Alligator mississippiensis: one gene and its partners. The protein of the gene in region 1 purifies or fractionates together with the protein of each later gene. This does not show direct contact. Links are inferred from orthologs where the notes say so. Each region holds a gene or a part of one and is shown in the gene's direction. Other genes may lie near its edges.

Region 1 (6,982 bases):
TATCTATCTATCTATGGTTGCAGCCAGAGACAGGGGAACAGAAAAGGGTGGAAAGCCATGCAGGAGAAAAGCTCACACAGGACGTGTTTACAACAACTTTATTAGAAGCACTGGCTCCAGCCATAACCGTGGTGCTTGGCATCACAACGGGAACCCCAGTCTCAAGAGCTCTAGAGGTGATCACCGGCACTGAAGCTGCAGCAGAGATGAGGCAACCTAAGAAGAAATGGGACTCCAAGCTCAACCACATCCTGGGCACATCATTTGGAGGCGGAAGTCAAGCCCTGATGGCCAGTCTCTGAGTTGTCCTGCTGCCTACCCCTACGCTCTGAGGTGGCCTGGAGCAGGCTTAAGGATTCCTGCAGCCCCTCTAACAGACTGAACTGGGCCTGCACCATCTTGGTCTGAATCTGGAGATGGTTGTGCATGCATTCCAGCAGGCCCATGCACTCTTGTGGCTGATGGTCGGGGGCTGCGGGAGAAGGGGTTGGAGGGTTAGTTATTCCTCTCCTCTTCCTGCACAAAGAGCTAATTAACTGTCCTACTGATTCCAGCTGCTGAGGCTTCCCATTGGCCACAGCCATATGGGTACCATGACTATGGTGTAGACAGAGCTCTGTAACCCACAACCAGCTTTGCCCTTACAGGTATCAGCTACAGAGGAGGATCTTTTCTCTTCCTGATGCTGACACAAGTGATATGGATATACCAGACCCACTGATGCTGACAGACCCCAAGGGCCTCCTCTCCTCATGTTGGTTGGTGCCAAGCAGAATGAACTCACAGGAGGAGAAAGAAGGGGGGACTTTTGGACCAGAACCCCAAATGCATGTGCAGTTAATTTTTAGTTAATTAATTATCACCCAAACTCTATGTTATCTCAGTGCTAGTACAAGAAGAGTCCCTACCCCATAAGGCTACTGCCATGTGCCCCCGGATTCCAAGGGCTTGGTCTGTGATGAGCGGCATTCAGGATGGGTCCGACACTTACAGAATTGTTTGTGTCCCAGCCTTACAGCCTGGATGCAGCGGTGACCCCGGCTGGGCCTGCGCTGGGTGAATGGAAGCTCAAGAAAGCTGGGGGAGGGCTTGGCAGGATGGAACAGCTTAAAAGACGCAGAAGGATGTTCAACGTTCTCTGAGTCTTCTGAGAAACAGAGAAAAAGTGGGTAGAAGGGGTCATCAGGGTGTTTTCCACCATGACAGTTATAACATCAAGCCCTGACTCTCCTGTAGCACCTTTCAGCCCCAGATGCCCCACAAAGGCCAATCTAAGCATCTCCCCATGCTTGGAGGCTGGACTTTGTATCTACTTAAAAGCTCCCTGCCACAGATCTTCCTTCAGAAATTACATCTGCAGCTACAAAATGGGACAGGGGCCTCCATGTCACACACTGTCCTTTAGAAGTTCAGCTGAGCCTGCCAGCAGGGAGATTGACTAGTGGCTAATGTAGCAGATGCTTAGCTACCCTTTTCCTGCATCCTCTGTCTAAAGGAAAAGGCAGGATCTGCAGGAGAAATCCCACAGCACTGCATTCTCAGAGCTGCCTGCGCACACTAGTGTTACACAACAAATAACTACAAGGAGCTGCAGGACTGGGGAGATAGGAATACAACATCTGAGAGGAGCTTTTCAGCCTGTCTGAAAAATAAATGAATGACTGCACTATACCAGTGAGGTAAAAAGGTAAATGTAGGAAGGGCTTTTCCATTGGTAGGGTAACTCCTCTTCTGAAAAGACCTTCCAGAGTTGAAGGCCTGATACTTTATGCTGCTCTGACAGTCTCAGTCATGGACTGGAACTCCATGGTGCAAAGTGCTGTATGAATGTATATTTTGGCACAGCAAGAATTAATGCCAATGCTCATGCAAAGCTTCCAGCCTGACAGTTAAGTTGTGGTTTGTAAATAAAGTATAAACACACCCAACCTACTTATCCCATGCTGTCTTTCTTCTTGAGTGCTTGAGTCTGCCTCTATCTGGGTAGGAACAAAGCTTGCAACTACAAAGGAGAAGGAAAAAACATGGTTATCTGCTGAGATAGTTTAAAAGGAAAGAGGCTGGATACAGGCAAGAATGCACCTTCTGTTTGCACTGCAGTCAGGTCATTGCAACATTCATGTACGGGGTCACAGTGATAGGGAAAATTATAGCAAGAGAAGCATGTGAAATGAGGCATTTAGACCTCAGGGTGGCTGCTCTTAGACAGAAAAGCTTTACACATAAGAATTGCCATTTGGTGCCATAGATCTGTTTTGCCCAGTGTCCTATGACACATGATGACAAAGAGCGAATGCTGAAAGGGTGAGTGAACTAGGAATAACCAAGATTTTTCTCCTCCCACCTGCAGCCTCCAGCATTTACGGCCTAGGAAGTTCTGATTCGGAGACTGTGCCCCTCACTCCCCAGCTCCATACCTACTGATGCCCCTTTCCTCCAAGAATTTGTCCGATCCCTTTGTGAGTCTGGCCACACTTTCAGCTTCCCCCACATCTGGTTGTTCCACACTTGTCTCCCACGCTGAGTGAGAAAGAACTTCCTGGTTATCTTTAAACTTCATAGAATCACAGAAAATGAGGGTGGGAAGGGAACTCAGGAGGTCACATCTAGTTCAATGTTTTTAACCTGTAGGTCGTGACCCAAAAGTGGGTTGCAGGAATATATGAACGGGTCGTGAACAAACTTTAAAAATGGATTCTCCTAAAAATGTGGGAAACCATGGCTTTTCCCTTGCAAGCAGGCAGAGTTCCAGCCTGTGAAGGGCTGCTTGGGGGCCACCCCTGCCTCACACACCCCTCCTCTACCTCACACAGCTATCTCCTGCCCCACGCAGTAGGTGGCTGGGGCCTGGGGGAAGTGGGTTGGAAGCAAAGGGCACTGGGTCGTGACTAGCCATTGATGTTTACAAATGGGTCCTGGTACAAAAAAGGTTGAGAACCACCATCTAGTCCAACCCCCTGCTCAATGCAGGACCAGCCCCAACTAGATCATCCCGATTCAGGCCTTAAACACCTTCAAGAATGGAGATGTCACTTCCATCCCTTGTCTTCTATGATTCTGCCCTCCTCGTGAGAAAGTTCTTCCTAAAATCCAACCTAAACCTCCCTTGCTGCAACTGGAGCCCGTTGCTCCTTGTTCTACCACCTGCCCCCACTATGAACAGATCCTAGTTTATCTGACACTGGGATTCGAACCAGAATAAACAGCTCCATCCTCTTTAGTGCCACCCTGCAGGTTTCACTGTGTGACCCCTCCTGCTCTGGGATCTAGTTAGCCCCTAAGGTGCACCTTTCCTTGCCTCCTGCGCGCAAAGTGGCACGGGGCACTTCCAGCCCCAGGCCTGGGGAGGAGGAGAAGGAAGCAGCCGGCGCAGGCCTCTGGCTAGCAACAAACTACAGCCCCCATCAGGCCTTGGGGCTGGACTACAACTCCCATGGCCCCCCGGGGCGCAGCCCAGCCCTGACGAGACGGGGGGTGGACTACATCTCCCAGGATGCACCGTGAGCCGGGGGCTCTGCAGGGGACTACGACTCCCATCGTGCCCCACACCAAGGGGCTCCGGCTCCTGCAGGAGTCTAGCAGGTTCTCCCTCGCCACTCGCCTGCGGAACGAGCCCGGCCGCAGCTTGACGGCTCCGAACGCGGGCGGCAAGGCCTCCCCCGCCCCGCCATTCAACCGCTACTCGGCGCTTGCGCGCATGCCCACCGCATTCTTCTCATTGTGCGCACGCGCGGACATGCGCGGTTCTCACCTGCGACCTGCATACTACGCATGTGCTCTCAGCCGGCTTCTGCGACGCATGCGCAGTGCCGCCGGTCCCCGCCCAACGTTGGCGCCGAGGCCCCACGCGCTGAGGAGTTTCGCCTCAACCAAGCTGGGCTGGGAGGGAAGGGGCGGAGCCTTGCCTTCCTATTGGCTGCCGGGCTTCGGGCGCGGGCAGCGATTGGCGGGTGCGGCGGCAGCCGGGGTAGGTTGCCTCGGCACGGTGAAGCGGCGCCTGTCGGAGTGGTTCCCTGTCTCCAGAAGGTTCCCGACCCGCCGCCACCATGATGGGCTCGCGCCCCGTGCTCGTGCTCAGTAAGTGGGGGGGCGGGGGGTGCAAGGGTCCCCTCTCCCGTCTGCGCTAGTGCGCACGTGCGCGGTCCCCCATCCCCCCCCACGCCCCGACATGGGTTCCCCCCAAATCCCGCCCCACCCGTGGGGTGTCCCCAGTATCCCCCCCCCCCGGTGCCCCATGCCCCTCACCATTGATTGTCACCGAACCCTCGTCTTTGTGCGACTCGCTCCTGCCCCCCCCCCTTCAGAGACTTTCCACTGGGGCTTCCTAAATTGGGATTTTCTCTTCTTCCCAATGCAAGCTCCTGTTTTCTCACATACCCCTTGCTCTCTTCTCCCCCACCGCCACCTCCGTCCCCCCTTCAGCCCCCCCAAACTGGGCTCTTAATAAAGGAGAAGCAGTGTCAAATTTTATATGGGTGGGGAATGCTTCGGGGTGGACCGCAACGGTAGCAGGTCGCCTGATATGGGGGTGACGAGTGTGGGGATTTGTTCACGGGTGGGTCCTTCATTTACACTGGACGTTTCTGAAGCGGTTTCATTCGTCATGACAGTGAAGCATCCTTAAAACAGCCCCTTTCCAGAGTACCGCAAACCTACTGTGCAGCCACTTATAGCAGGTCCTTGGGGAGATTGAAGGTTCGATGTTTTTGACCCCTTTTCATGACAAGGCTGTAATCCAGACACCTCCTGTATTGCCCTATCTGGGAATGTGCTTTCTACTCGGGAGCGCATCTTTACTTATAGAAAGTTAGGGTTGGAAGGGACCTCAGGAGGTCACAGCTAATCCCAACCCCCTTCTGAAAGCAAGACAGTTCCCACCTACATCATCCCATACTTATATAGCCGAATAGGGCTTAGAAACCTTTAAAGGTGCTGTTTTTGTTAACGTTTTAAGGGAAACGTGCCGGGGGTTGAATCTCTGGTACTCCCTCCCCTACATTCACCCCTTTGCTTAACAATCAAGCATGTCTAAGCACAATTGCATCCTTGACACATTGTTATTATTCAGTTCAATGTCGGTCTTCAGCTTCATATTGCTCAGAAGCGCACTGGCAGGATTAGATTTCAGTTATGTTCTTGCTGTTGATACTTTTCCTGCTCCATTTAGGTCAAAATATGAAACGCGAGTCTGGAAGGAAGGTCCAGACTGGAAATATCAATGCTGCTAAGGTACCATCTTACTTTTTCAGTTATACAAGTTATAAAAGGGCAAATGCAACAAATTGGGAAGGTCTTTAGCTGGTGCTTTGACTCAGTTCCTTGCTGATATTTCCTGACAGGTCTTCAGAGGAAACACTGATGAACATTTCTTTGCTAGGCTAGATGTTTGCAGTGGGATGAAGTGCTCTTTTGGTGAAAGAAGGAAGCTTTAACCAAATACTATAAATGTTTCTGTCTTAATATCTCATTTGGCCAATATTTTGCTAAATTCTGACTGAGAAGATGATGAGGTCTAGAAATTTGCAGGTGGTATCTTAATAGCTAAATTGTATTTTTACAGCTGACAAAATCCTGCTTTTTGCTGCACTGAAGCAACTGTCAAATCAGTGGATCACTTTCAGCAATTAGAAGGCTTGCGTTTTTTCATGGATGGCAAGGATTATCTAAATCTGTTTTGGCTTTTGGAACACTAAAGACATTATTAATGAAATCCTGATCGCTGGAAGCAAGGGATTAAAGGAGTGAAAGCATAGAGTCAGACCAGGGATCATCTCATTTTAGAGTGTGGAACAATCCTTGACATGCTGGTCTGAATGAGTTGATTTTCTTCAGTGCTGTTTATTTATCCCTCTTCACTACTGCATGTTAACTGCTATTCACAGATCCATAGAAGTTTAGGGCTGGAAGGGGCCTTGTGCGATCATCAGGTCCAGCCCCCCTGCTCTAGGCAGGAAAGACTGCTGGGGTCGGCCCTAAGCTTCTACTATTGTGCTTTTGTAAAATGTATGAAATTCTCCCTAGGAGCATTATCACTTGATTTTTTTTTTCCTCTCTTCCCTTTATCATGATACTTCCTTTAAGAAAAGAAAAGAGAAGCAGAACATGTGCCAATTTATGAATAAATCCTGCATCATCTCACTTTCCTTTCATTTTAGACCATTGCTGACATCATCCGAACATGTTTGGGACCAAGAGCTATGATGAAGGTAAAAGCTTTTTCTGTTTGTGCTAGATGGCTCAGCAGCGTTGTGTGCCTTAACAGGCAGTCTTACCACTACTTTTCCTCTCTGATGTAGATGCTTCTGGACCCAATGGGTGGAATTGTGATGACCAACGATGGCAATGCTATTCTTCGCGAAGTGAGTCTTCAGTTTTGATCACTTTTCCTTAATACCAAATAGTTATCACGTTACCCTGGCAATGCTGATGTTCTGGAATTTTCCAGAGTCCTGAAAAAAGAGGTCTCCCATCCCAGACAAAGTGCGGAAGACAAACTAGTTAAGATTTCCTATGGCTACTAATTTTCTTGAAAAGACTAGTTTTCAAGATTGCTTATAGCCTTTTGAAACAAGACTGGTTCCCAAATTAATTTGATCATATGCAGTTGGTATGACACAAATTCTATATGTGTACATACTTGTCACGGGGTTGTAAGTTACCCTTGTCACTGATACTTATTTGATTGTCTTCACTTAAGAAAATCTGATGCATATGTTAATATTTGAAATGCAGATCTCATTTCATTGTCTGTAACCACCATAAAACAGAAAGCAGGTAAATACAGAGCTTGTAATGAATGAGAAATATTTCTGTAGAAATCACTGGGCACTGATAATAAACAAATAAACTCAAATCATTATAACTGTACAGAGGTACAGTTATAATGATTTGAGTTTATTTGTTTATTATCAGTGCCCAGTGATTTTTGTCAGTGGATTTTTGTCAATGAGACCCAGTCTCATTGTCAGTGGAAGAAAAATAT
Region 2 (7,670 bases), on another chromosome or scaffold:
AAGGGCTCAGTTTACAAATAAAAGGGGTTTTAAACATTTTGTAAGCCTTACATATTCCCAGTCATTAAACATAGTGGGAGGATTAAGTTATTGAGAAGGAAGTAAGTAGAGAAAGAATTCTGAACTTTAAAAAGTTCACTCATATCTGAGCTCTAAGCAGAAGTGACATTTCTCTGACAGAGGGAGAAGAGAGAATTACCAGCTCCAGAGAGGGGAAAAAGGTGCCTGTTGAAAGTGATTTTTAGATAAGAAGATTTTTAGATAAACATCACTTCATATAGAAGCTGAACTGGCCATGGATATAATATTGAAAGAGCGATGTAAATATTTAAAAAATGTTTATTATTTAAAAATATGAATAACTGTGAGTGCCAACATAAAATTTAATAATTGAGCTTTCAAAAATTGCAAAATTGTAAAGTATTTATCTTTAAGTAAAGTATTTAAATCACTTTAAAACTATTAGTTTTGTCCTAAATTTCCTACCTGAAACAATGAACTGTTAAAAAAAAATACCAATTATCATGCTCTTTTTAAAATTAGGTTCAGCTTGGCATCTATAATGAAGTCATTTATATCAGCAAAAGATCTGCTTCCATTAATTCCTATAATCGAGATAAGTGTAAAATATTAGAAGTCTTGATTTGTAGTGCCTTCAAAGATGAATGGCAGATTCACACTTGTTTCAAATTTGTTTCTATTGACTCAGATTACACAGGACACTATTAGTGTGGATTGTTATGGTTACTACTGCTCTTCCTCAAGGGTCTTTACTGTTACGTTAATAGTAGACAAAAATCAAGTGGGCAGAATGTTCTATTGGTGAATAATTTAATATGATAAAGCATACTGCAGGATATTGCAGGCATCAAAATGGAGCTGACAGCCATGGGCAACAGGTGCCTCCTAAGTTGGGGCGGGGGGGAACTTGCCCCACCAGCAACCAGTCAGCAATTGAGGGAAGAGGGAGAGCACGGCCGATTGCATGGACCCGGAAGTGTCACACCAACCCAGAACCGCCAGCAGTGTGGCACAGCACAGTACATCTGGGTCAGTGCGATCAGTCACAGATGGACCGTGGGGATCGCCTCTCCTGGTGCTCCCACTCCCCGGCCAGCACTCTCAAGGGGGACACCAGCACTCTTGCCTGCCCCCCCTGCCCATCACCTAAGCGGGGAATGCTGGCTGTCAGGGGTTGCACAAATGCTCTTGGGGGTGCACCTGCACCCCCTACATGTCACCACTGCCAACAGCATTATACATTAGCACTCATGGCTACCCTGATGGGGAATGGCTACCAGGCAGGTATGGAATATATACTATATAAGCCATGATATATTGCTACCTATAGTTTGAATGTACTGCCTTAATGAAAGAAAAGGTTGACTTCATTGCCTTTTATTTTATGCTAAATAACTGTGTCCACCGGCTCCTTTTAAGGCAGCGACATAGCACTCAAAAAACCCTCAAAGTTGGGACAGTGCTGGCATGTAATAAAACAGCATGTTGTGGGGTTAATATATCATCAGTAGAAATAAGCGGTCAGCTTCCATTGATTTCTTAGAGCAGTGGTCACCAACCAGCAGATCTCGATCTCGGAACCTCTTGCGGTAGATCTTAGAGCCTCTCGGAGTCAATCTGAGGCCTGGGTGGGGGGTTGAGTGCCTGCGTGCATGCACGGGTGCGCCCCAGCCCAGCAGGTCAGTCTGTGGGGAAGGGAAGGGGCGGGACCTAGATCGAGGCCCCCTGCGGTGAAGGACAGTGCTGCAGAGGCAGGAGCAGGGGTAAGTTGAGTGGGGTTCTGGCCTGCTGGAACTTACCTGCTGGGGAGGCACGCCCTCAAATAATTTCTCCTCCCTCTGCCTTGACCTGCTCCCTACCTTCCCTTCCCACAGATTTACCTGCGGGGGAGGGGTGATGGTAGCACACAGTAGATCTTGGGTTGCTTTTAAATGCCAAAGGTGATCTGCTACTTAAAAAGGTTGGAGACCATTGTCTTAGAGGCTCCACAAAAGGAACACAATGTAGTAATTTGAAATTTTTGTGGAAGATGGTGCAAAACAAAATCTGGCACTAGTAGTAATGGATTCAATGCCCCTTGGCAGCCACAGATGGTAAGAGTAACAAAAGGAAAAAACACTGGTCATACCCAGTTCACTCTCCTTTTCAGCATCCACTTTGCTCCTGTGTGACAGGACACTGGGCAAGATGGACCCATCATCTGACCCAGTAAATGGCAATTCTTATGTTAACAACCTCTTGCAAGCACAAGCTCCCTAGGGAACCTTTTCCATACCATCTATTCAAGTGATGCTATGGACTGGTTCAAGTCTGAGGATGGGGCACTTCTGAGAGTGTAAGTATTCGCCAACCTTATCCTGACCAAAATGCTAAACATCTGAGTTAGGTATCCAGGTTGTTTGCATCTGTGTAACTCCACTGACTTAGAGTTACTCTTTGTTTACATCAATGAAACAGAATAATCAGGCCTTTATCCTAAACAAAGTAAAATATCTTTGATTAATGCTACAGGATTCCCTTGAGAAGATCTACCAGGACAGGATATAAAACATGAACAATGATCAGTGATGATGATGGATGTAAGGAATAAAGACACATTTGCTAAAAACTGTCAGGAAAAATAATGGCATTTTTTATACTGGTAATATGATTGGGGGGGGCTATGTTTTGTTTGTTTTTTTACCTTGGCTCTCTTACACAGACTAGGAAAAAAGAAATGAACCAGATAAATCAGCATTTCATCAGCAAGAGTCAACAGGCATATTTTATACTTAACAATGTTGAGGATCATTTATAAGGGAAAGACTTATTTGAAAGCAAAGCCATAGGCAAGGAAGCTAAGGTCTAAATGAATGTTCAACATTTAGTTTTGCTCCTTTTTTATATTTAATGGCCTTGCAGTGGCAGTCTTCCTGACATTCTTCCTACAGAATATACCGCTTATAGCTAGAAAGCAAAGGCAATATTAAAACTGAAGCATTTCATGAAGCATTTCATGTGAGGAATTGGCAGCTGTCAGTTTACCAAATAAAATTTTTATCTTGTAAAAGCCAATGGCAATGAAACATTGATCACCAGTGTCAGGGTATACAAAGAAAGTCTGTTACATGATTGGTTATTGGAAATAATATGCTGCCTGCAGTTCCTATTCATAATCCTGAAAATAGGATGATTAAAAATGGTTCTAAATGGCAAAGTTAAGACCAAGACTTAAGTTTGAGATTTTATTTTTTGCTGAAGATAGGCAGGCCTTAGTCTAGCTGGTTTGGAGAGGTGCAAGATTTCATAGGAGACAGCATCTGAGGAAGTAGGCTGATGCTTGTGGAAGCTTATGCTTCTCTGAGTCAGACTCCAAGGGCGTTGTTGCATGGTAATTTTGGGTGACTTTTGGAGCGCTCAACACCTGGACTGTCCAAACATTAATGCCTGAAACTGGTTTTCAGCACTTGTTAAGTGGCTCAAAGGTACACCACTCCAGGTGTGTGGTTTCTTTCTGATCCATGCGAGTGCTGCCCAGCTTGTGTGTTACATTAAGGTGCAACCCCTCTAGGGTACACCTTAGTGTAAACACCCCACCTGTCCCCCTTTCCAACTGGGCCCAGATCAGGCCCATTGCTCCTCCTGTCCCACCCTGCCCTTCCCAGATCCCTGCTTACTTGTGGCTGCCTCCCCCGTCTGTCCTGGGGAGCAGGCAGGGAAAGGTTAACCAGCCACTGTTGCTGCTCTGTGAGTGGGCTCAGCCAGAAGATCAGCAGCCAGCAGTGGCATCTGGGCAGGCCGGTTAATGTTTCCCTGTCTGCTCCCCTGCGACAGACAGTGCTGGCAGCTACCAGCGGGAGGAGGGCAGGAGGGAAGCTGGGAATTGGAGGGGGTCCTGCTGGCCTGTAGTCCGACTGCGCCAAATGCTAGCTAGTGCTCAGACACGTGTGCGGCTTGCAGCGCAAGGGGCAACAAGCCCCAGCCTGTGGCGACTCTTAGTGCTTTGAGCCCCTTTCAAGGGTGCCTCACCACGGGGTCAAAGGGGAACCTGCAGCACCCAAGCTGTTCTTTGCCACACGAGTTTGGCTCTAGTATTTTTCCCATAGTCAATTTTTTTTTAAATAAGGGAAAGCTCAGAGCTCCCACTTTCTGGGGGCCCCGGAGTCTGAGGAGAGCGCCTGGCCTCTAGAAAAGTGGAGAACTACTCCTCTGCAGTGCCACTTTACCCCGCCTTCATGCGCCGGTGACTAATTTATTCCCGCAGTGGTGGTGTAGCCGCAAGGGTCCCGACATGAGGCGAGACGCAAGGATTTTTTAGGGCCGGCTCCGGCTTTAATTGGACCGACCGCGTGGCTGGGATCAAGGCGGACACGCTGCCAATGCAAGACCTTCCTCAGGCCTGACTGTCACTGCGGGAAAGCCTCCCCTCGCGCCCGGCCCAGCGCTGGCAGAACAGCACGAGGCGGCAGTCGGGCCCTTATCCCTGGGTGGGACGACGGCGGGGCGATCCCAAAAGGATTTTGCCCCCTAATCCCAGCCTGGCCTCAGCGCTACGTGGGGCCGCGGCCCGAGTCTCGTCTGACATTGTACAGGGCAAGTCTACGCCCCCAGTGCGCACGAAGCCCCACCCCCACCGCCCGAGGAAACCGAACGCAATCGCGCGCCTTGTGGCCCCTCCGGGCCGCCGTAGCCGGAGCCGCCGGACGGGAAAAGGGCGCTGCGGTGGCTGTTGGGACTGACTGTTAAGTTGCAAGAGGCGCGGAAAGTCCACGGCGCCTCTGGGCTGCCGGCATGAGGCGGGCGCTGTAGCGGAGGCCGGGCCTGGCGGGTCTCGGGTGCGGGTGGGTGTCCCGGACCTGGTCCCCTCTCTGGTCCGTACTGCCCGCCGGCCGCCTCGGGCGGTTCCAAAGCGCGCCCCGGGAGGGGGGGAGGGTTGTTTCCAACTGTGCTAGCGGGCGGGGGAAGGAAGTGGTACGTCCCGCCCGGCCCGACTGGGGGGCGATCCCGCAGCAGCTGCCAGGGCGGGGCTGGCGGCCCCTGGGTGGCACCCGCGCGTGACGCCCGCCGGGTCTCCTCCACCTCAGTGCCTGGCCCTGGTCCGTGCCAGTGCGATGCCACCTGCTAGCCGTGCGCCGCACAGCCGAGCACGCGGGGCCACGTCTTCCAGCCCCCCCAGCCCAGAAACGGGGCAGTAGGCAAGTGGCGGATAACATCACCGCCACTCCCCGGTCACCAACCTTTCACACCTGTGGGCCGTCTGACAAGAGCTCGCTGACTGGGTTCGGTGCCCCGGACCTCCCCACCAAAACGGGGGGACTTCTTCCCCCCACTCCCTCCACATCATGTGACTGAAGGTGGAGGAAAAAGGACCCCCCCCAGGGTCCAAGTGTCCTGTCCTGGAGGGTTGGTTTGGGCTCTAGCCTGGTTGGTGCCATGTGCTGTTGTGGGGCTCGAGTCGTCATGGCTTGGTGTGAAGCCACCAAAGGAGCAGTATTTCTCCCCGCTGCTCATTTGGTCAAAGCAAGGAAGGATGGGGAAGCTGTCTGTAGTAATGACCCAACCTGCCCGAGGAAGAGTTTTCAGATGGTAACCAGGTAGCTTCATAGACTCGTGACCTTTTGTTTGCTAATAACTTATTTATTCACATGTCACACTCGCTTCCCTCCACCCTTGAAAGTTAATACTCAAAGGTTGGGATGTGTCTCTCAAATGAGGACACTGATTCTGAACACTTTGCTTAAGAGGAAAAAATTTTTTCCTTCTTGGTTCTGACTTCCTAAAACAGCGATTGTTTTACTTGGGGGATACAGTATGTTGACAGGCTCAGCATATACAACGTACATGCAATATACAAAAAGTTTAGGTATGGTACCATAGAAAGTAACTGCATCTGAAATGTATTTTAACCTTTGGGGCAACAAATTCCATTTGTTTAGATTGGTTGCATAATGGTAGTTAGCTGTGTTAGTTCACTTGTTAGTTTGCAGGGTAGAGATGCACCTTACAGACTAAATAAGATGCATCTAGAGCATAAGAGTTAATGTCTTCAGCTCACTGTCTTGTCATTTTATCATGAAAATTATGCTAGCGATTGCAGATAGAAATCTTAACCAGCACAAGGAACTGTTGCTGATCTTATTTTCTTTACGCTTCTGTTTATGCCTGTAGGTGCAGCCATGCAGGAAAGCATCCGCTTCGCTTCAGCAGGAGACGATGTTAAAATATGGGATTCTTCATCTATCACAGTGGTGGAGCAGTTCAACCCCCATTCTTCCTCACCTACAGTCAGCTCACTTTGTTGGGGCAGTAATAATATCCTTTGCTCTATCGGTTTGATACGGTGTCTGGGGAGTTCTGCAAAATTTTATTGAACTTTTTGGTTTGAAGCACTTTGTAGGTGTCAGTTTTCATTTAGTGTTGATTGGAAGAACTGCTTTTATCTTTTTAAGCAAATATTTTTTTGCATGCTTAGGCAGAAATATTAAGGGTTGGGAATAAACTACCAAATTAAATATAAGGCCAAACGGCTTAGCTGCTACAGAAAAAAACAAACTATACTGGTGGATTCCTCTGAATAATTTCTTAACGATCCTGGGGAAAATCTATTTTTAATACTGATACTATGTTTGAGTCACCTCGCAAGTGTAGAAATTTAAGGGTTTTTTAATTGTTTGCCTTGAAAATAAGTGCAGTAGTTTTCAGTGATAAATAAGCTGACAGAACCTACTGGTAGCAGAAAAAATCTGTAAGTAATATGAAGTTGATTATAGAACACTTGCTTTGGCTTCCAAATGTTAATCTTTCAAGCCAGGCTGTGGGTATTAGAAATGATCTTTGGCTGTCACTGTATTTAATGGAAACCGAAAACTTTCTGTCCAGTAGGAAATTTAATTTTAAAGCCTTCTTAAGTGAAAGATCTGCAATTTGCAGACAAGTCTCAAGTATTTGTTAGGTTCCTGAGATGCAAGTTTCTTCCTCAGAGAATGTTACCACAGATCACTCCTTCATTGTACACGCAGGGTTTCAGGTCTATTTTGGGTAGTCCCTTTCACATTTGTTTCAGACTCCTTTTGTGATAGGTGGGACTATATGTAGCCTTGATTATGTTGGAAGGGTATACATAGGTAGATTAGGTATATTTAGGAAGGTCTGTATGAGAATTTTCTCTAAAATACTAATAGCTCCAACAGATCAGCTAGTTTCATGGCATCACTGTGTTGGGAAGAGATTGATATATGATATGGATGTCAAAAAATAGTGGGCTGGCAAGTTATAATTACTTCCCCAAAGTTCTAAATGTGTCTGACCTCTGAGATGAAGTATGGCAGGGATAGAGATGAGGCAATGGTTATAATCATCAAGGTTAAATACAGCATTTAGCAGTGCAGATGTTGAAGAAAGGACTGATTTAATATGATACAAATACTAATTCAGAGCTTTAAAGTGCCGTAGTTGACTTGAAGTCTAAATAGCGCTGCTTCATTTTTCTGCATTTTCCTCGCCTCCTGTCCTGCAAAAAAACCCATGAAAGTTCATTCAAATCCTCTGCTGCTTGTGAGTCCCTTGCCAATTTGTGTTTTTACAAACAAGCTTTCTTAATAAATGTTCTCCTGCTTTTATGTAAAAGATCAACACAAACAAAAAGGAAAGCTGACTAAGAAATCAGGGAA
Region 3 (7,702 bases), on another chromosome or scaffold:
TTGGCCACCGGGAGAGGGGGGGTGTTGGGTGCAGGGGTGCCAGTGGAAGGAGATGCTTTGGTGGGCTCCGAGGCAACACCATAAGGATGCCCTCAATGGCCCTTCCCTTTAGTGGAGAGGGGGAAGGAAGAGTGTTAAGCAGTGGGGAAACTGAGGCACAGAGCAGTTTCCACCCCACCTCCAGTGGAGATGGTTTGTGACAAGCCGGCCTTCCCCTGCCCCCCCCCAAAATGAAACCTAGAATCAGGCTGGGGGTTATTCCAGCCAGTTCTCCCCGGGCGCATCCACCTGCTTGGAGGGGGCAGAGACCCCGGGCTGGCCTGTGCCTGGGCCACTGTCCAAGTCATCCAAGTCTCACGGCAGGTCCAGCCTGACCCCGTGCCCCAGCTGTGCACAGCTGCTTTGCAGGGTGGCTGTTGCTCTGGACTGGTCTGATGTCCCCAGCAGGCAGACTGGGCTGGGGGGGGAGCGGGGAGGGGGTTAATGCCAGGCTGTGCTTCCCCCTCACCCCCCAGCCCATTCACCCTCTGCCAAGCTGCTGGCAGGAGAGGGGCTGGCTGCAGAGAACTTGGCAATAGGGTCAGGGGGTGTGAAAGAGCTCGCCCGCCCCTCCGCTAGGAGCTGCCAGGGCTGGGGGCTATATCGTATAGTGCCAGGGTGGGGGGCTATATCACCAGAGGTGCAAGGCGCTGCATGGCTGGAGACGATCTCTGCCTGGAGAGCACTGGCAGCAGGTGGGAGAAGGAAAGGAGGCGTATTCCTCTGGGGAGAGTGGGATCTCCATCACTGGATGTTTTTAGCCCAGGGGGAGAAAATGGGGCTGGTTCAGGGATGAGCCTGCCTGGAGCAGAGGGCTGCATTAGATGTGCCCCCACATCCCCTCCCAAGGGACCTGCCAGCCTGATGAGCCTAAGTGACTTGACCAAGGCCCCGCAGGCAGTCCGTAGCAGAGACCCCCCATCTCCATTGGGCCGTGGGGCACGCAGCGTGGCAGATCCCCACGTCCATCCCTGTCTACACTAGCACCTTCTGGCCTAGCCAGGTGGGGAGGGGGAGGGAAGGCAGATCCTACATGTTAGCCCCCCGACCCCATACCGTGCTGCTGACAGGCGACATCATGCAGCAAGTAAATAACATAATTAATAAAAGATTAGGATGAAATGTGACACATTAAATATTTAACCCTGCGGCTGCCCGCGCCGGAGGGCCAGACACAGCTGGCTTCTGCAGGATGTAAGGAGCAGGGTTATTTCCAACACCCCCCCCAACACCCAGTTTAACCCTAAAGAGCAGAAGGCTGATGGGGGTCCATGGAGGGGTGGATGGGAGGATTAACCCTTGGAAGCCTCTCCGCTAGGGCTGAGTGGGGCTGTCCGTCCGTCCGTGTGGGAGAGGAGGTGTTGGGGGCTAATTGTTACAGCGGTGGGGGGAGAGTAGGGTACAGGAGGGAGAGCAGGGCAGCTGCGAGCCAGGACTCCTGGGTCCTGTTTCCAGCTCTGGGACGAGCAGGGATGGTTGGGGGTGAGTGGGGAAGGGCTCTGTGGATTGAAGGAGGGAGCAGGGTGTAGCGGTTAGAGCAAGGAGGACTAAGGAGGAGCCCGGATGCCTGGGTTCCCGTCCTAGCTCTGCCACCGACAGGCTGCGGGGTGGGGGGCAAATCTCTCTTCCCCACCCCATCTGAAACAGGGCCTGTAATCCTTCCCGGCTCCCGGGTGGGCTGCAGCTTAATTGATTTGAGTGTTTCCCTGCCCCGGGGAGCAGCAGTTATTCCAAGAGCTGATGGGGGGGACAGGAGCGGGGGTCTATGGGGAGCCTGAGATGACTCCTGGCCTGGCCACCTCCTCTGCTCCCAAATGCGGGGCCGATGCCCGTTTGAATTGGGTGATAAGGGGTGGTCGGGCACCAGCCGGAGGGCAGGATGTGCCCTGAGATCTGGGCCGGAGGAGCCCCTGCCTTCCCCGCAGCTGATAGGCTTGCAGATAATTTTGCATCACTGATGAAATCAGCCCCCGGAGCTGCTTGGCCTTGGGTGCGCTGTAATTTCTTCTCTCCTTCCCCAAAGAAATGGTGCAGCACGTCGCCCCGTGGCGCTGCTTAGTCCTGCGACGGGTCCCTCCTGCTCCCTTTCATAGGTGGGGGAACTGAGGCACGCCGGCCCTCCGCAAGATGCAGGCAGCAGAGCCAGGATAGGACCCGGGAGTCCTGGCTCCTGGGCCCGTGATCGCTCTTTCCAGTGGATCCCCTCCCACCCGAGGAGTGAGTAGATCCAGTCCCTGCGGCTCAGGGGTTCCCAGCCCTTCCCATCTAGGGCCCCTGTGTCTACCCAGGCCAGGAATCGGGGAGACGTGGGGGATGCTCCTGGTGACCCCAGGACCTGACCGCTCCATGCCTCAGTTTCCCCATCCATGAAGCAGACATGCTAATGCCTAGTGTCTGTCTGGAGATGGGTGCAAATCTCTCCAGAGAGATCAGGAAGGCCATGACCCCCCAGTGCCTGCTTCCATCCACTGGCATTTTCATAGACTCATAGACAATAGGGCTGGAAGGGACCCCGGAGGATCATTGAGTCCTGCCCCAGGGGCATGAGAACCCAGTTTTGCTCAGTCAAGCAGAGGCCATGGAGAAGGGGGCTAATATGGGCATTGCCCCCAAGAAACTGGCCTGAGAATGGGCAGGCCCGGCCTGGTATTGCGCGGTCCCCAACCAGCGACGTCCCTTCTATCCGAACCCCGCTGGGTGATAAGGCAGTCCCCGGGGGATGCATCTGCAGCCACTTCTGGGGTGGAACACGGCAGCGTGGGCAAGCGCCTGCCTGGATGACTGCTTCGTTATGAATTACGGGTAGCGCCTCAAGGCTCGGGGCCTGGCCGGCCCACCGTGCTAGGTGCTGCACGAATGCTTCCAGCAGCTCGGGGATCTGGAAGGGCCAGAGGCTGCTTGGGTTGGTTTTTAAGGCTGGGGAACAAAGTGAGACCGCGCTCGGATGGGGAATCCCAGGGTCCCCGTGTCCCAGGACCGGCGGGACATGCAGAGGGAAGAGCGCTTTACTGTCTTGCCTGCAGCCCTGTGGGCAGGGAGCTGGGGGGGGGGGGGGGGGGGGTCCTATTGTGATGGATGGTGCCGCTGTGCTTGGTGTTAAAGGGATGTGCTGCTCTCTGCACAGCCTGAGTCATGGCCAGCAGGAAAGCCTTGCCTCCGTTAGATCAATGTGCTGTAATTATACCAGCCAGCCACTTCGGGCGGGCGGTGGAGGGAGCTGGGCCCCACGTTACTTTGATTGACAGCGGTGGGGAGCTGCAGCGCGGAGGCTGCTGGGGGCTGTAGTCCGGGCCAGCTGTGCTGGGGGGCGAGATGGGGTGCTTCGTGCACTCGTCCGGTGCCAGCGGTGCCCTGCTACGCGCAGCGACGGGGGGCAGAGCCCTAGGGACCAGCCGCCTTCGCGCCCAGCTCCCTGGAGCAGTCCTAGGCATGGGGCTCTTTGCAAAAGGAGCCTGAGCTGCAGGCTACCCTGGAAAGGGGGGAAACCGAGGCACAGAACTGACATGCTCCAAGCGGCCTCACTGCTTCATAGCACCTGTGCCCCGCACCTGGCAGGGAGGGGCCTGGTCTCCGACCGCTCTCGTGCCAAAAGGCCGGAGGCGGCATGGGGCGGTGGCACCAGGCACAGCCATGCCCGAGGCCGAGGACGCTCTCGCCAGGCGGGGGCATGGGGGTATCTGGTGGGATGCACCCCCAGAGCTGCCCAGGCCTGGCACCCTTGCCCCAGATGCTGCCCCAGCTGAGATGGGGCTGGGAAACCACAAGTCCCAGCCTGCCACTGCCACTGCCCCACCCCGGCTCCCCCCTGCTTCTCCTCCTGATTAGCCTCCGAAAGCTTTGACATCATGGACCCATGTGGGAACTGGGAAGGCGCATTGGTTGGCGCTCCCAGCCCACGGCAGCCAATGGCGCCGCGTCCACAGTAGCCGAGGCTGCAAAGCTCTTTAAGGTGGACCTGGGCAGCCCAGGGCGCGGGCGTCCTCCTGGGTCACCTGCCGGCCCGAGCATCCTGCCTTGGCGTCCAGCACAGCGCTGGTCCCCTGGCACCGCTGGCCTGGGCCTGGGGGCTGGCGTGAAGGCGAGGCGTGGGGCAGCGCGAGTCGCCCCGCCAGCCTTGGTCCAGCAGGAGGCGCTGCGGTGCCCGGGGCAGGACAGCAGCTTGCTCGGGGCATTTGCTGCTCGCTGCCCCAGTCGCAGCCTCTCTAGCCCAGTCCAGGCTTTCTCTCGGGGCGCTGTGTGCCCTGTGTTCGGCCCCCTCGGATGCCCGAGATGCCAGACCCTGATCCGGGCATCATCCTGCGTGGACAATGCCCAGATGATGCCAGGGGTGGAGGGAGGGCTGGTTTCCAGCCAGGGTCCGGGAGAAGGAAGCCGGGGGCTGGAGGCTGCTCTGCTCTCCTGGCTTCCCCCCGTCCCCCCTACGGTGCCCGGGGGGCTTCAGAGCAACTTGGGGGCACCAGTGCACTCACGGGGCACTGAAGTGGCTGGGGAGGGGGCACCAGCGTGGCCAGGGGACCCTGAAGTAGCTGGGGAGGGGGCACTGGAGTGGCTAGGAGGCCGGGGGAGGCATCAGAGCAGGCAGGCGACACCAAAGCGGCTGGAGCTGGGGGGCGGCAAATTGTGGGTCTGGCCGAAGGCACCGCTGCCTGCGGGAGCTGGTGCCTGGGGGGTGCCTGGGGGGCGCCCCAGCTCTCCCAGCGCCGTGGCCAAGGCCTCTCCTGGAGGGCCAGAGCCACCTTAAGGCGCGCTTCGCCAGGCTCCCCTGCTTTCTCTGCCTTGCCAGGAGGTAGTTTTTATTCCAGCCAGGGACCGCTGCTGAAATCCGGCCAGATTTTCGCCTGACCTTCTGTTCCTGCTGGGTTTTTTTGTCCCCCCCCCACCCCATGCTTTAAGGCCGATTAGATTTCCCCCCAGCCCCGTGTCCGATGGGCCGCTCACGACCCGCCGGGGAGGGAGTCCTGCTCCCCTCTCGCCCGGCGGAGATCTCCGCTCCGGCACCCCCAAAATCCTTGCATTTAAGATAAAAAGAAAAAAAAAAAAAAGCCTGGTCAGAGGAAGCCTTGTGCCCGCCTGGCTCGTCCTGGGCTTTGGCTGCCCTCCTGATCCTACGGCGGCTGTTGGAGAAGTTCAAGTGCAGGGGTCCTGGGGGGGCTAGCGGGGGCCGCCCCCTTCCCCTGGCTGGTAGCCGTTTGGGGCCAGCGGCTCAGGATGTACCCGCAAGGACGGCACCCTGTAAGTACCAGCCCCGCCACTGGCTGCGGGGGTGCATGGGCAGGGGTAGGGGGGCACTGGGCTCTGATCCAGGCGCGGGGCAGGGGCAGGTCCCCGATGCACGGGGCATCGCGCTCATGCCCCCTGTGCTTCCCTCCCCAGACCCCGCTCCAGTCCGGGCAGCCCTTCAAGTTCTCCATCCTGGAGATCTGCGACCGGATCAAGGAGGAATTCCAGTTTCTGCAGGCACAGTACCACAGGTGAGGGGTGCGGGCGGGCTGGGGGCGGCTGGGGGGACGGCGGGCATTGGGGGTCATTGAGGGGGGCAGGAGGAGAGTTTTGCCCGTGGCAGCTGGCTGGGCTGGGTGTGGGGGGCAGGTGAGGCAGGGGCCTGATAGCGAGGACAGGGCTCAGCCCCCTGCTTGGAGAGGGGGGAGCTGGGAGGAGCATGTGAGCCCATGGGGAGGTGGATGGAGGAGACTGGTTGGGGGTCAGGAGACCGCAAGAGGCCATGCGCCAGGTCCCGGGTAAAGGGGGCAAGGCACAGAGCTTGGTAGTACCAAGCGGGGAGGCAGGGAGCAGCTGGGGGTGCCGGGGGGGGGGGGGGTCAGGTCCTGGGGTTTGCCAGGCAGGAGGCATTTGCATGGTGGGGGAAGAGGGCAGGGGGCGAGCTGGGGGGGCTTCAGGTCAGAGGAAGACCCCAAGAGCTGGCGCAAGCAAATGCTTGGGGGAAAAGGGGTGCAGGTCGGGAGCCAAGATGCCAGGGTGGGAATACAGGCACCGGGGGTGGGTCGATGCCATGGGAGCCCTGCCGTCCTGCGTGCCACAACCCGCCGGCAGCGGGGCAGCAGGGGCGGGGGGCTGCCAGCCCTGATGCTGGGACCCTGGCGGGGAGGGCAGGGTGGCACCAGCCTGCCCTTGTGACCGAGCGGTTTGTCCGCAGCCTGAAGCTGGAATGTGAGAAGCTGGCCAGCGAGAAGACGGAGATGCAGCGACACTACGTCATGGTAAGACCCCCACTCATCCCCACCCCGCTGGAGCCAACGGGGTGGGGGGCTCACCCTCCAGCTGGGTCCTCTGCACACCGTGGGTCCCTAGAGCCTGGCTTGGGAGGAGACCCCCCCCCCAGCCAGTGGGTGCTGCCAGCAGGTCACCCCGGGGGTCTCCCCGAGTGGGGGGGAGCATCAGGCAGGAAGGAGTTAAGCGCTAGTCCTAGCAATGGGCTGGGGGGGGGGGCAGCTGCTGTCTGCTGCCTCGGTGCCAGCCTGGATCCAGGCCATGCTCTCTGTCTTCCTTTTTGCCCCGGTCTCTTAATTATACAGGTCTCTGCCCCCCCCCCGGGGTGGGAGGGGATTCCTGGAAGCAAAGGCGCAGAACCCCCCCACCTCGTGCTCCCCACCATGATGGCAGGGAGCAGCATCTGTAATGGCCAGCAAGGGGTTAATAAATGGGCTGGGAGCCCTGGCATTGCCCAGCCGAACTGGGCACTGCCCAGCTCTTTGCAAAGGAGATGCCCAAACATCTTGGTGGGTGAGGGGGGAAACACCCTGGCCCCCCTGCCCAGGCAATGAGGCTGGGGTCCTGTCCATGCTTGGCTATGAGTCCTTTCTGCCACCCCCTCTCCCCCCCACTTCACCGCACGGGTGCCAGTTCCCCGGGGGAAATATGCGCCAGTGGGTAGAGCAGGCATGTTGCGGGGGGAGGGCAGGCGGGCATTGGTGCCCACTAAGCTCAGGCAGGACCTGGTGTGAGTAGGACATGGGGCAGGGGAGGGTGGGCTGCACAGAGCCCCTCTCCTGCAGCTGCTGGGGCTGGAGGGCCAAGCGGGGGGGCTTGTCCTGCTAGTGCCCAAGAGAGGGACCCCGCTAATGCCCCGTGGGACCCCCCTGTAACTGGACGGTCGTCTGGCTTCCCTTGCAGTACTACGAGATGTCCTACGGGCTCAACATCGAGATGCACAAGCAGGTGAGTGCCAGGGGCCCAGGCCCAACGCGGGGCAGGCGCTCCGCCCTGGGGCACAATCCTTCCACGTTGCCCTCAAAGGGGGCGTTGAACCCAGAGCTCACTGACGCTGAGCTGGGTGGCACCAAGTCCCGGTGGGGAGCGGCTCTTGCTGCGCTTGGCGCTGTACAAATGCCAGGACCCTGAGGAGCACAGGGGGGACAGGGCAGGGATGGGGTCCCTGAGCAGGGACCATGTCCTTAAGCCTTAGTGGGTGTATTGAGGTGCCTAAATCCCTCTGACACCACAGGGACTGAGATGCCCGCCCACACCTTTAAGGACCTAAACCCCTTTCCCAGCCAGCCTTGGCACGGCCTCCCCTCCGCCAGTGGTCTCGGGGCCAGGAGGGCATGGCGGGGTGCCCGGAGCGGCTGGTGGCAACCGGACCTCGGCTTCCCCCCTGCTCGGAGCCGGCACAGTGTTTTCCAGCCAGCCCCGGCCCCTTTGTTGC
Region 4 (7,301 bases), about 7.2 Mb from region 1:
TGGGCAGCCAGGGGAGCCCAGACACCTGGGTTCTCTCCCAGCTTGGGCAGCCCCACAGTTCCTGTGCTCCCCCTCACCCCATGCTGCCCCCCCTCCCCCATAGCGGGGCCAGATGGGACCATCCGGGGCTGGGCTGAGACGTGGCTGAACGCGAGTAGCCCCCTGCGCTACGACGAGGCACGCGGCGTCTTCACAGTCACCCATGGTGGCCTCTACTATGTCTATGCCCAGGTGCGCCGGATACTGGGGTTCCCTCCGGCACGGGGGCCTGGATTCCCGGGGTCCCTCCCTGCCGGGGGCCCGGACATTTGGGTCCCTCTGATGCCCGCTCCCCCCGCAGGCGCACTTCGACGAGGCGGCCTGGGTGTACGTGAAGCTGGAGCTGGCGTTGGGGGTGGCGCCGGCACTGCGCTGCCTGCACCAGCTGCCCCCCCCCAGCGCAGGCCCCCCTGAGCCACAGCTGCGCGGGTGTCGTGTGGCTGGGCTGCTGCGCCTGCCCTCCGGTGCCACCCTGCGCCTGGGCACCGTGCCCCGTGTGCGTCTTAAGCCCGACGCCTCCCTCACCCACCTGGGCCTCTTTCAGCTCCGCTAGCTTGAGCCTGGGCACCTGGGTTTGCCCAGGCTGGGCCCCTCCCAAGCCCAGAAGCCTGGGTCCCATGGGGCTGGGACGCCTGGGTCCCCCCAGGGCACGGTGTCCCTGGGTTCCCCAGGGCAAGCATCTCCGAGCCTGGACATCTGGGTTCCCTTAGGTCAGGGCACCTCAGGACCCGGATGCCCGGGTTCCCCCAGGTCAGGGTGTCCCAGGGTGCCTGGGCTCCCCCAAGTTGGGCATCTCAATTCCCCTCGGTCAGGGTCAGGTTGTCTCGGCCAATAGGAAGCTAGGGTGGCAGCAGCTGCATTTGCTGAGCCGAGCAAGGCGGGGCAGGGCCCTGCTGGGAGCCAATGAGCACCTCCCACACGGGTGGGAGGGGGTGGGGCCTCGCATTGGCCCCTTCCCCCAGCCTGATGTGGTGGGGCCAGGGTGGGAGAGGGGCCTGACAATTTTATACACAGAAATTTATTGTAATAGAAATAAAACCAGTGGAACCAGTGACAGGCTTGGCCGCAGACTGGGTGCCCGGACTCCTGGCTCCCCTCCTGCTTGGGGAAGGGAGCAGGGAGGGGGAGGAGCTGGGAAGCCCTGGACACCTGTGTTCTCTCCCTGCTGGGGTTGGGCGTACGGGCCTCAGCCTCCCAGGAACCTAACGGGGCCTGATCTCATTATGCCCAGGCCCACCCCAGAGCTGGCTGCATCTTGGTGCTAACCTGGGGGTTCCTGTTACACTCAGCCATAACCCACCCCAGAGCTGGCTGCATCTCTGTCAATTTAGGGGTCTGTTCTATGCAGCCAGGATGCACCCCAGAGCTGGCTGCAGTTCCCTCCTAGGGTTCTCTGTTACATCCAGTCATGATGCGCCCCAGAAGTGGCTGCGTCTCAGTGCTGGACAAGGGGTCCCTGTTACACCCAGCCATGACCCACCCCCAGAGCTGCATGAATCTCAGTGCCAACCTACGTGTCCCTGTTCTATGAAGCCAGGACCCACCCTAGAGTTGGCTGCATCTCAATGCTGGACAAGAGGTTCCCGTTACACCCATCCACAACCCACCCCAGAGCCAGCTGCATCTCCCCCCCAGCTTCTCCCACCCCACTGGCACCCCAGACACCTGGGTTCTCTCCCAGTTTGTAGTGGGGGCAGCCACCCGCCCCCATGCTGGGCGCTGCATACTCTTGGCCACCGGCCCGGCTTCCTGCCCCCCCCCCGCCCCCTTGCGCAAGAGCCTCTGGCGCCTGCAACTTGGTGGCCACGGCCTGCACCCGCTGGCCACAGAGCCCTGGACGCCTGGGTCCTCTGGCGGGGAGCCCTGGATGCCCGGGTCCTCTCTGGGCTCTAAAAAGGGGAGGGTGCAGGGACACCTGGCTGGCCTGGACTCCTGGGTCCTTTTGCAGGGGGTCTCCTCATGAGTGGGGTCCCTGGACGGGGGTTGGTGCGGCCCCCCCTGGCGCCATGGCTGGCAGGGGGGGCAGTGCTGGGGGTCCTGGCCTGCCTGGCAGCCCTGGGGATGCAGCAGAGGCAGGTGGGCACCCTGCGGGCACAGCTGGAGCAGCTCCAGGAGCGGCTGGAGGCCAAGACCTACGGACGCCCCCAGGTGAGACCCCCACACCAGCCTCTGACATCTGGGTTCTCGCTGCAGGGAGCCCAGGAACCTCCCCCCACCCCCGGCACCTGGCTCTCTGCTCTGGGAGGGGGGAAGTGGGGTCAGGGGCGTCAAAGTAGGGAGCCCTGAGAGCCGGGACTCCTGGGTCCTCTCTCAGTCATGTGGGGGGGCTGCAGGGAGCCCTGACGCCTGGGTTCTCCCCCTGATCTAGGAGGGGGGCTGGGGGCCCGGATGCCTGGGTCCTCTCCCTGCTCCGGGAGGGTGCTGGCAGCTCAGACGCTCGGGTCCTCTGCCAACACCAGGGCTGTGGGAGATGGTGGCGCCCAGGCCTTCTCCAGCTCAGGGGGGTTCCAGGGGTCTCTTACCTGGCCCCATCCTGGTCCCTTGTGCTTGCCGGGAGCTGGTCTGGGGGGGGGTCAAGGGGGTTTAGATGCATGTGGCCTGGCCCTGGGGGGAGATCTTCAGGGGGTTAATCATTAACCCTCCCCCAGGGCCTGGCCCAGGGCCAGGAGGAACCAGGGAGCAGGAAGCAGTGACTGGGGAAAGCACCCGCCGGGGGCGGGAGGCTGGAGGCCAGTCAGGGAACCCAGGTGTCCTGGCTCTGCCCAAAGCCCTCCCGAGCTGGAGGGAACTGAGGCATCCGGACAGCACCCCCCCCCCCCCCCCCCGGGAACACAGGACCCCGCAGAAGACCCAGGCATCCAGAGCATGCGCACGCACACAGATGAGCACCCCCAGGACACACCCATATGCATGCACTACCCTGGTGTCTGGGACAGATGCCCCCCCAGGTGTCCAGGACACACGCACACGTGCACAGCCCAGGTGATCTGGACACAGACATGCACATTGCTGGGGCCAGCTAGTGGGGGCTGGGGGGGGGGGTCAGTGCAGGGCTGGAGTGGGGCTCTGGGGGCCCGGGTGTGGTGGGGGTGTGCAAAGGGGCATTAACCCCTTCCCATCCGCACCAGGTATCACCCCGCAGCAGGAGGCAGCTCGAAAGGCCGTCACCCTCCCCCGGCCCACGGCACCAGCACCGTGAGTTCGGCTCTGACCCAGGCCCAATCCTATGGGGGGGGAGTTGGGGGGGTTTATGACCTCAGGGGGTGTCTGTCCCCCCTCCCAGGCCAACGCACGGCCCTGCACCTGGTCCCCAGCCACTGCTCCACCAACGGTGAGTGTTGGGTGCTCCTCAGCATGGGGTGGGAGCAGGGGGGCCTGGGAGCCCGGACACCTGGGTTCTCTGGGAGCAGATGGGGGCTTCAATGGAGGCATGGCGGGGGAGGCAGACACCTGGGTTTTCTGTTGTGATTGGGGGCCCAGATACCCGATTCTCCAGGAGGGGATGGGGGTATAGGGGCCCGGACACCTGGGTCATCTGGGGGGGGCAATAGGGATAGGTGGGGGCTGGATGCCTGGGTCCCTGAGGGGGCAGGGACATAGGCCTGCACCCTTGGGTCTTCTCTGGGAGGGGATGGGAGCGTTGGGGTCCCCGGACGCTGGGGCTGAGCGCAGTCCCCGCAGCTGAGGGTGACGTGACGGAGCTGTGGTGGGCGCCGGCGCTGCGGCAGGGCCAAGGCCTGGAGCTGAGCGGCTCCATCGTCACTGTGCGCCAGGCGGGCCTCTACCTCGTCTACAGCCAGGTAGGGCCCTGCTCCCATGCACGCGCCCTCGTGCACGCGCCCTCGTGCACGCCCCCCTTCACCATCTCCCTTCTGCCCAGGTGCTGTTCCACGACCCCACGTTCACCATGGGGCAGGTGCTCTGGCGTTTGCCCCCCGGGGGCCGGGGCCCGGGACAGATCCTGCTGCGCTGCGTCCAGAGCATGCCCGGGCAGCGGGAGCAGGCCTACAACAGCTGCTACAGCGGAGGTGGGCGGGGCCTCCAGGAGGGGGTTGGGGCGGGGGCACCTTCGTCTGCTCGGGAGGGGTCCGGGACCCACCCTGAGGCTCCGCCCCTTCTCGCCCCGTAGGTGCTTTCCACCTGCAGCGGGGGGAGGGGCTGCGCCTGGCCGTGCCCCGGGCCAACGCCTCCCTGGACCTCACCCCCCACGGCACCTTCCTGGGCCTGGTGCGGCTCTAGAGGGACCCGGGCGCCCGGGCAGCGCCCCGCAAAAGGGAGCCCGGGCGTCGCCGAGAGAGACGGTGGGACCCAGGCGTCCAGAGCCGGCCGCCACCAGCGGGAAGGGACCCAGGCATCCGGGCGGTGGCGCCGAGACGGGGAAGGCCCCAGGCGTCCGGGACGCCGCATGGACACGTGGGGAAAAAGGACCCAGGCGCCCGGGGCAGGTGGGCGCAGGAGGCGTTGCGACCACCCGGGCACGCCAACGAGCACCGATTCCTCCCCGTAGCAACAAGGGCATCACTCCCGAAATCTCCGTGAGGCCTGAGGCTCCTTGTCGCCGTAGCAACGGGGGTGGGCCCGGGCGCCTGGGGTCCACCTCGGGTGGGGGGGTAACAAAGGGGGTGGGGGGGGGGGGAAGGCGAGAGCCCGGGGTCCCTCAAGCCCTTGGGTTGCGAGTGAGGGGCACTGGCTGGGCCGGGCCTGAGGCTTATTGACGGGACGTACGAAAGGTTTAAATACAGCCAAGCCGCCGAGATCTCGTGAGATTGGGCCCACATCTCGCGGCATTTTCAGGCAGGATGGCCAGGGTAGCGCGAAATTTCGCGCGGTACGACTTGGAACCGAAGTTGCGCGAGGCCCTCACCGAAAGACCGCGGGATTTAGCGGCCGCGGCACCTCCCCGGTCGAAATTCTCGCGAGATCTTGCCAAAGAAGCGCTCGCGACAGGTCAGGGCCGGTGCAGGGCTCTCGCGAGATGGGTCGTCGAGTTCACGCGGGAGCGGGAGGTTTGAGCTGGAGTTCACGAGTTCTCGCGAGAGTTGGTGTCATGGCGGCTTCCAGCTGCTGAGCAGCGCGTGTCTCTGCGGGAGGCCCGGGCAGGTGATGGGACACTCCAGCACCCCCCTCCCTGACCGCCCCAGGGCAAAGGGGCAGCCCACCCCCCGACCTGATCCCCCAGAGCAATGGGCAGTCCATCCCCCCAGCCTGACCCCCCCACCAAGATCAGTTCAAGTCCCCCCCCCCGCATTAACTCCCCCAACCTGGAGTAATGGCACAGTCCGCCCCCCCACCTGCCCCTCCCCCCGGGCACTGGGACAGCCGAATCCTCCAGCCTGGCCCCCCGCACGGGGCAATGGGACAATCTACCCCCCAGCAGGTGTGAATGGGGTGAGGGGGAACCCGGATGCCTGGGTCCCACTGCCCTCCATAAACCTCTGCCTCTCTTCTCCAGACCCCTCTCCTGGCAGGCATGCCCCACCCCGGATCTGACACCCCCACTGCCATGGAAGAAGCACCTCCAGACTCTGGAGCTGTGGGGGAGCCTGCTCCTGTCCCCCCAGAACCCCCTGACACCCCCTGCCTGGGGGATGCAGGGGAGGGGCCGGAGCCAGGGGTGGGGCTGCCCGAGGCGGGGCCGGGAGAAGAGGAGTATTAGTGAGTATGAGGGGTGGGCCCGGACACCTGGTTCTGCCCAGGCCGGGGGAGGGGGGGGGTCAAAGTGGGGAGGGGTCTGGACTCCTGGCTCCACCTGATACCCCGCCTCCCCCCCAGCCTGCCAGCCTATGACTTTGGGCGCCCCCCTGTGCTGCTGACAGGCGCCTGGGCCGAGTATGGCCACGTCCCTGAGAACTTCCTCAAGGGCTGCAAGTGGTGAGACACCCCCCCACACACATACACAGAGGGAAAGGGAAGGGGGTTTGGGGCGGGGCGGGGTGGGTCCAGCGCTGGGGTCAGAGGGAGGCCCTGACCTGCAGGGGGCAGCACCCCAAAATCCCCCCCCATCATCCCAGGGAGGCAGCTGGGAGACAAAGGAGAAACTGATTTTGGCACGTGCATCCCTTGCAGGGCTCCGGACGGCTCCTGCCTGCTGAGCAACAGCGCCGACAACACCTTGCGCATCTATGACCTGCCGCCCGAGCTGTACAGCCCCACAGGGGGGCCTGCTGCTGAGATGGTGGGGCCTGGGAGGGGGGGAACCCAGGCGCCCGGGCTCCCATCCCCTCCCTCCTCCAGCCCCTTCATTGCCCTCCCTGGAGGGGCACGGGGAACCCAGGCATCTGGGAGCCTGTTCTTTGCAGGCCACAGGGAACCCAGGTGTCTGGGCTCCCAGCCCCCACCCCCCTCTCAGAGCCAGAGGGAACCCAGGTGTCCGAGCCGCCCCCTTCCTCCCCAGAGCCCAGTGCTGTGCATGGCCGAGGGCGACACCATCTATGACTACTGCTGGTTCCCGCTGATGAGCTCGGCTGAGCCGTCCACCTGCCTGTGAGTTGTCCTGCCCTGCCCAGGGCCAGATCCTGCCTAGCCAGGGCACTCGGCCTGGCTGTCCCCTTCTCGTCCCCCCCCCCCCAATCCTTGAGCCTGGTTACATTTGGCTGCTCTGCCTGGAGCTGGCTGCATCTTGGGGGTTTAGGCTCTTCCCCCAGGGGTGGGACAGCAACTGGCTCCGCCTCCTCCCCTCATGTCTGCTCCACCCCCCAGCGTGGCCAGCAGCTGCCGGGACAACCCGATCCACGTGTGGGATGCTTTCAGTGGGGAGCTGCGGGCCACATACCGCTGCTACAACCACCTGGTGAGTGTTTGCGTACCTGCGTGTCTAGGCTCCCAGCTCCCTACACCTTAGCCCCCCCACCAGATCTCACTTTCCCCCAGAGCTGCAGGGAACAGAGGTGTCCAGGCTGCCTCTACCCCCACCTCCACCCCCTGGCGTGGCCCTGGGGTGAGAATCCAGGCATCCAGGCCCTGCCCCACCCCTTCTTCCACTCCTCCATCCCCTGGCAGTGCTGGGGGGAGACCCCAGGTGTCCTGATGCACCCCCTCCCCCCAGGACGAGCTGACAGCCGCCCATTCGCTCTGCTTCACCCCGGATGGGGCCCAGCTCTTCTGTGGCTCTGACAAGACTGTGAGGGTCTTCGACACTGAGCGCCCAGGCCGGACCTGCGAGGTGCGGCCCACCTTCGGTGAGACATCCCCCTCCCCCGCCACCAGGGTGAGGGGGGGTCCCTGGGACGCCTGGGTTTCATGCCCACTGAGAGAGCTGGGGT

What was found.
Region 2: the proteins of CCT3 (region 1) and NEDD1 purify together in Homo sapiens (affinity purification with mass spectrometry; 3 studies listed by BioGRID and IntAct, with this or other methods). This does not show direct contact. The link is inferred for Alligator mississippiensis from reciprocal best matches to the Homo sapiens genes CCT3 and NEDD1.
Region 3: the proteins of CCT3 (region 1) and transducin-like enhancer protein 2 purify together in Homo sapiens (affinity purification with mass spectrometry; 3 studies listed by BioGRID and IntAct, with this or other methods). This does not show direct contact. The link is inferred for Alligator mississippiensis from reciprocal best matches to the Homo sapiens genes CCT3 and TLE2.
Region 4: the proteins of CCT3 (region 1) and WRAP53 purify together in Homo sapiens (co-immunoprecipitation; 3 studies listed by BioGRID and IntAct, with this or other methods). This does not show direct contact. The link is inferred for Alligator mississippiensis from reciprocal best matches to the Homo sapiens genes CCT3 and WRAP53.

Annotation. Positions count from the first base shown.
Region 1 is NC_081838.1:17,548,324-17,555,305, reverse strand, and holds the start of CCT3 (T-complex protein 1 subunit gamma), read left to right. Parts: upstream 1-3,969; 5' UTR 3,970-4,046; coding exon 4,047-4,077; intron 4,078-5,167; coding exon 5,168-5,229; intron 5,230-6,155; coding exon 6,156-6,206; intron 6,207-6,296; coding exon 6,297-6,359; intron 6,360-6,982. Other genes in the region: TSACC (TSSK6-activating co-chaperone protein), read right to left, coding at 261-472, 992-1,147, 1,925-2,002, 2,418-2,520, 3,013-3,039. UniProt on the Homo sapiens protein: Component of the chaperonin-containing T-complex (TRiC), a molecular chaperone complex that assists the folding of actin, tubulin and other proteins upon ATP hydrolysis.
Region 2 is NC_081827.1:94,737,987-94,745,656, reverse strand, and holds the start of NEDD1 (protein NEDD1), read left to right. Parts: upstream 1-4,668; 5' UTR 4,669-4,741; intron 4,742-6,168; 5' UTR 6,169-6,176; coding exon 6,177-6,315; intron 6,316-7,670. UniProt on the Homo sapiens protein: Required for mitosis progression. Promotes the nucleation of microtubules from the spindle.
Region 3 is NC_081839.1:3,787,706-3,795,407, reverse strand, and holds the start of transducin-like enhancer protein 2, read left to right. Parts: upstream 1-4,688; 5' UTR 4,689-5,247; coding exon 5,248-5,271; intron 5,272-5,412; coding exon 5,413-5,510; intron 5,511-5,715; exon of another isoform or gene 5,716-5,777; intron 5,778-6,193; coding exon 6,194-6,257; intron 6,258-7,170; coding exon 7,171-7,215; intron 7,216-7,702.
Region 4 is NC_081838.1:24,752,587-24,759,887, forward strand, and holds the start of WRAP53 (telomerase Cajal body protein 1), read left to right. Parts: upstream 1-4,293; 5' UTR 4,294-4,484; exon of another isoform or gene 4,485-4,573; intron 4,574-5,491; 5' UTR 5,492-5,509; coding exon 5,510-5,694; intron 5,695-5,811; coding exon 5,812-5,910; intron 5,911-6,105; coding exon 6,106-6,214; intron 6,215-6,433; coding exon 6,434-6,522; intron 6,523-6,738; coding exon 6,739-6,829; intron 6,830-7,084; coding exon 7,085-7,217; intron 7,218-7,301. Other genes in the region: tumor necrosis factor, read left to right, coding at 104-231, 3,168-3,234, 3,323-3,370, 3,721-3,839, 3,920-4,067, 4,169-4,278. UniProt on the Homo sapiens protein: RNA chaperone that plays a key role in telomere maintenance and RNA localization to Cajal bodies. Specifically recognizes and binds the Cajal body box (CAB box) present in both small Cajal body RNAs (scaRNAs) and telomerase RNA template component (TERC).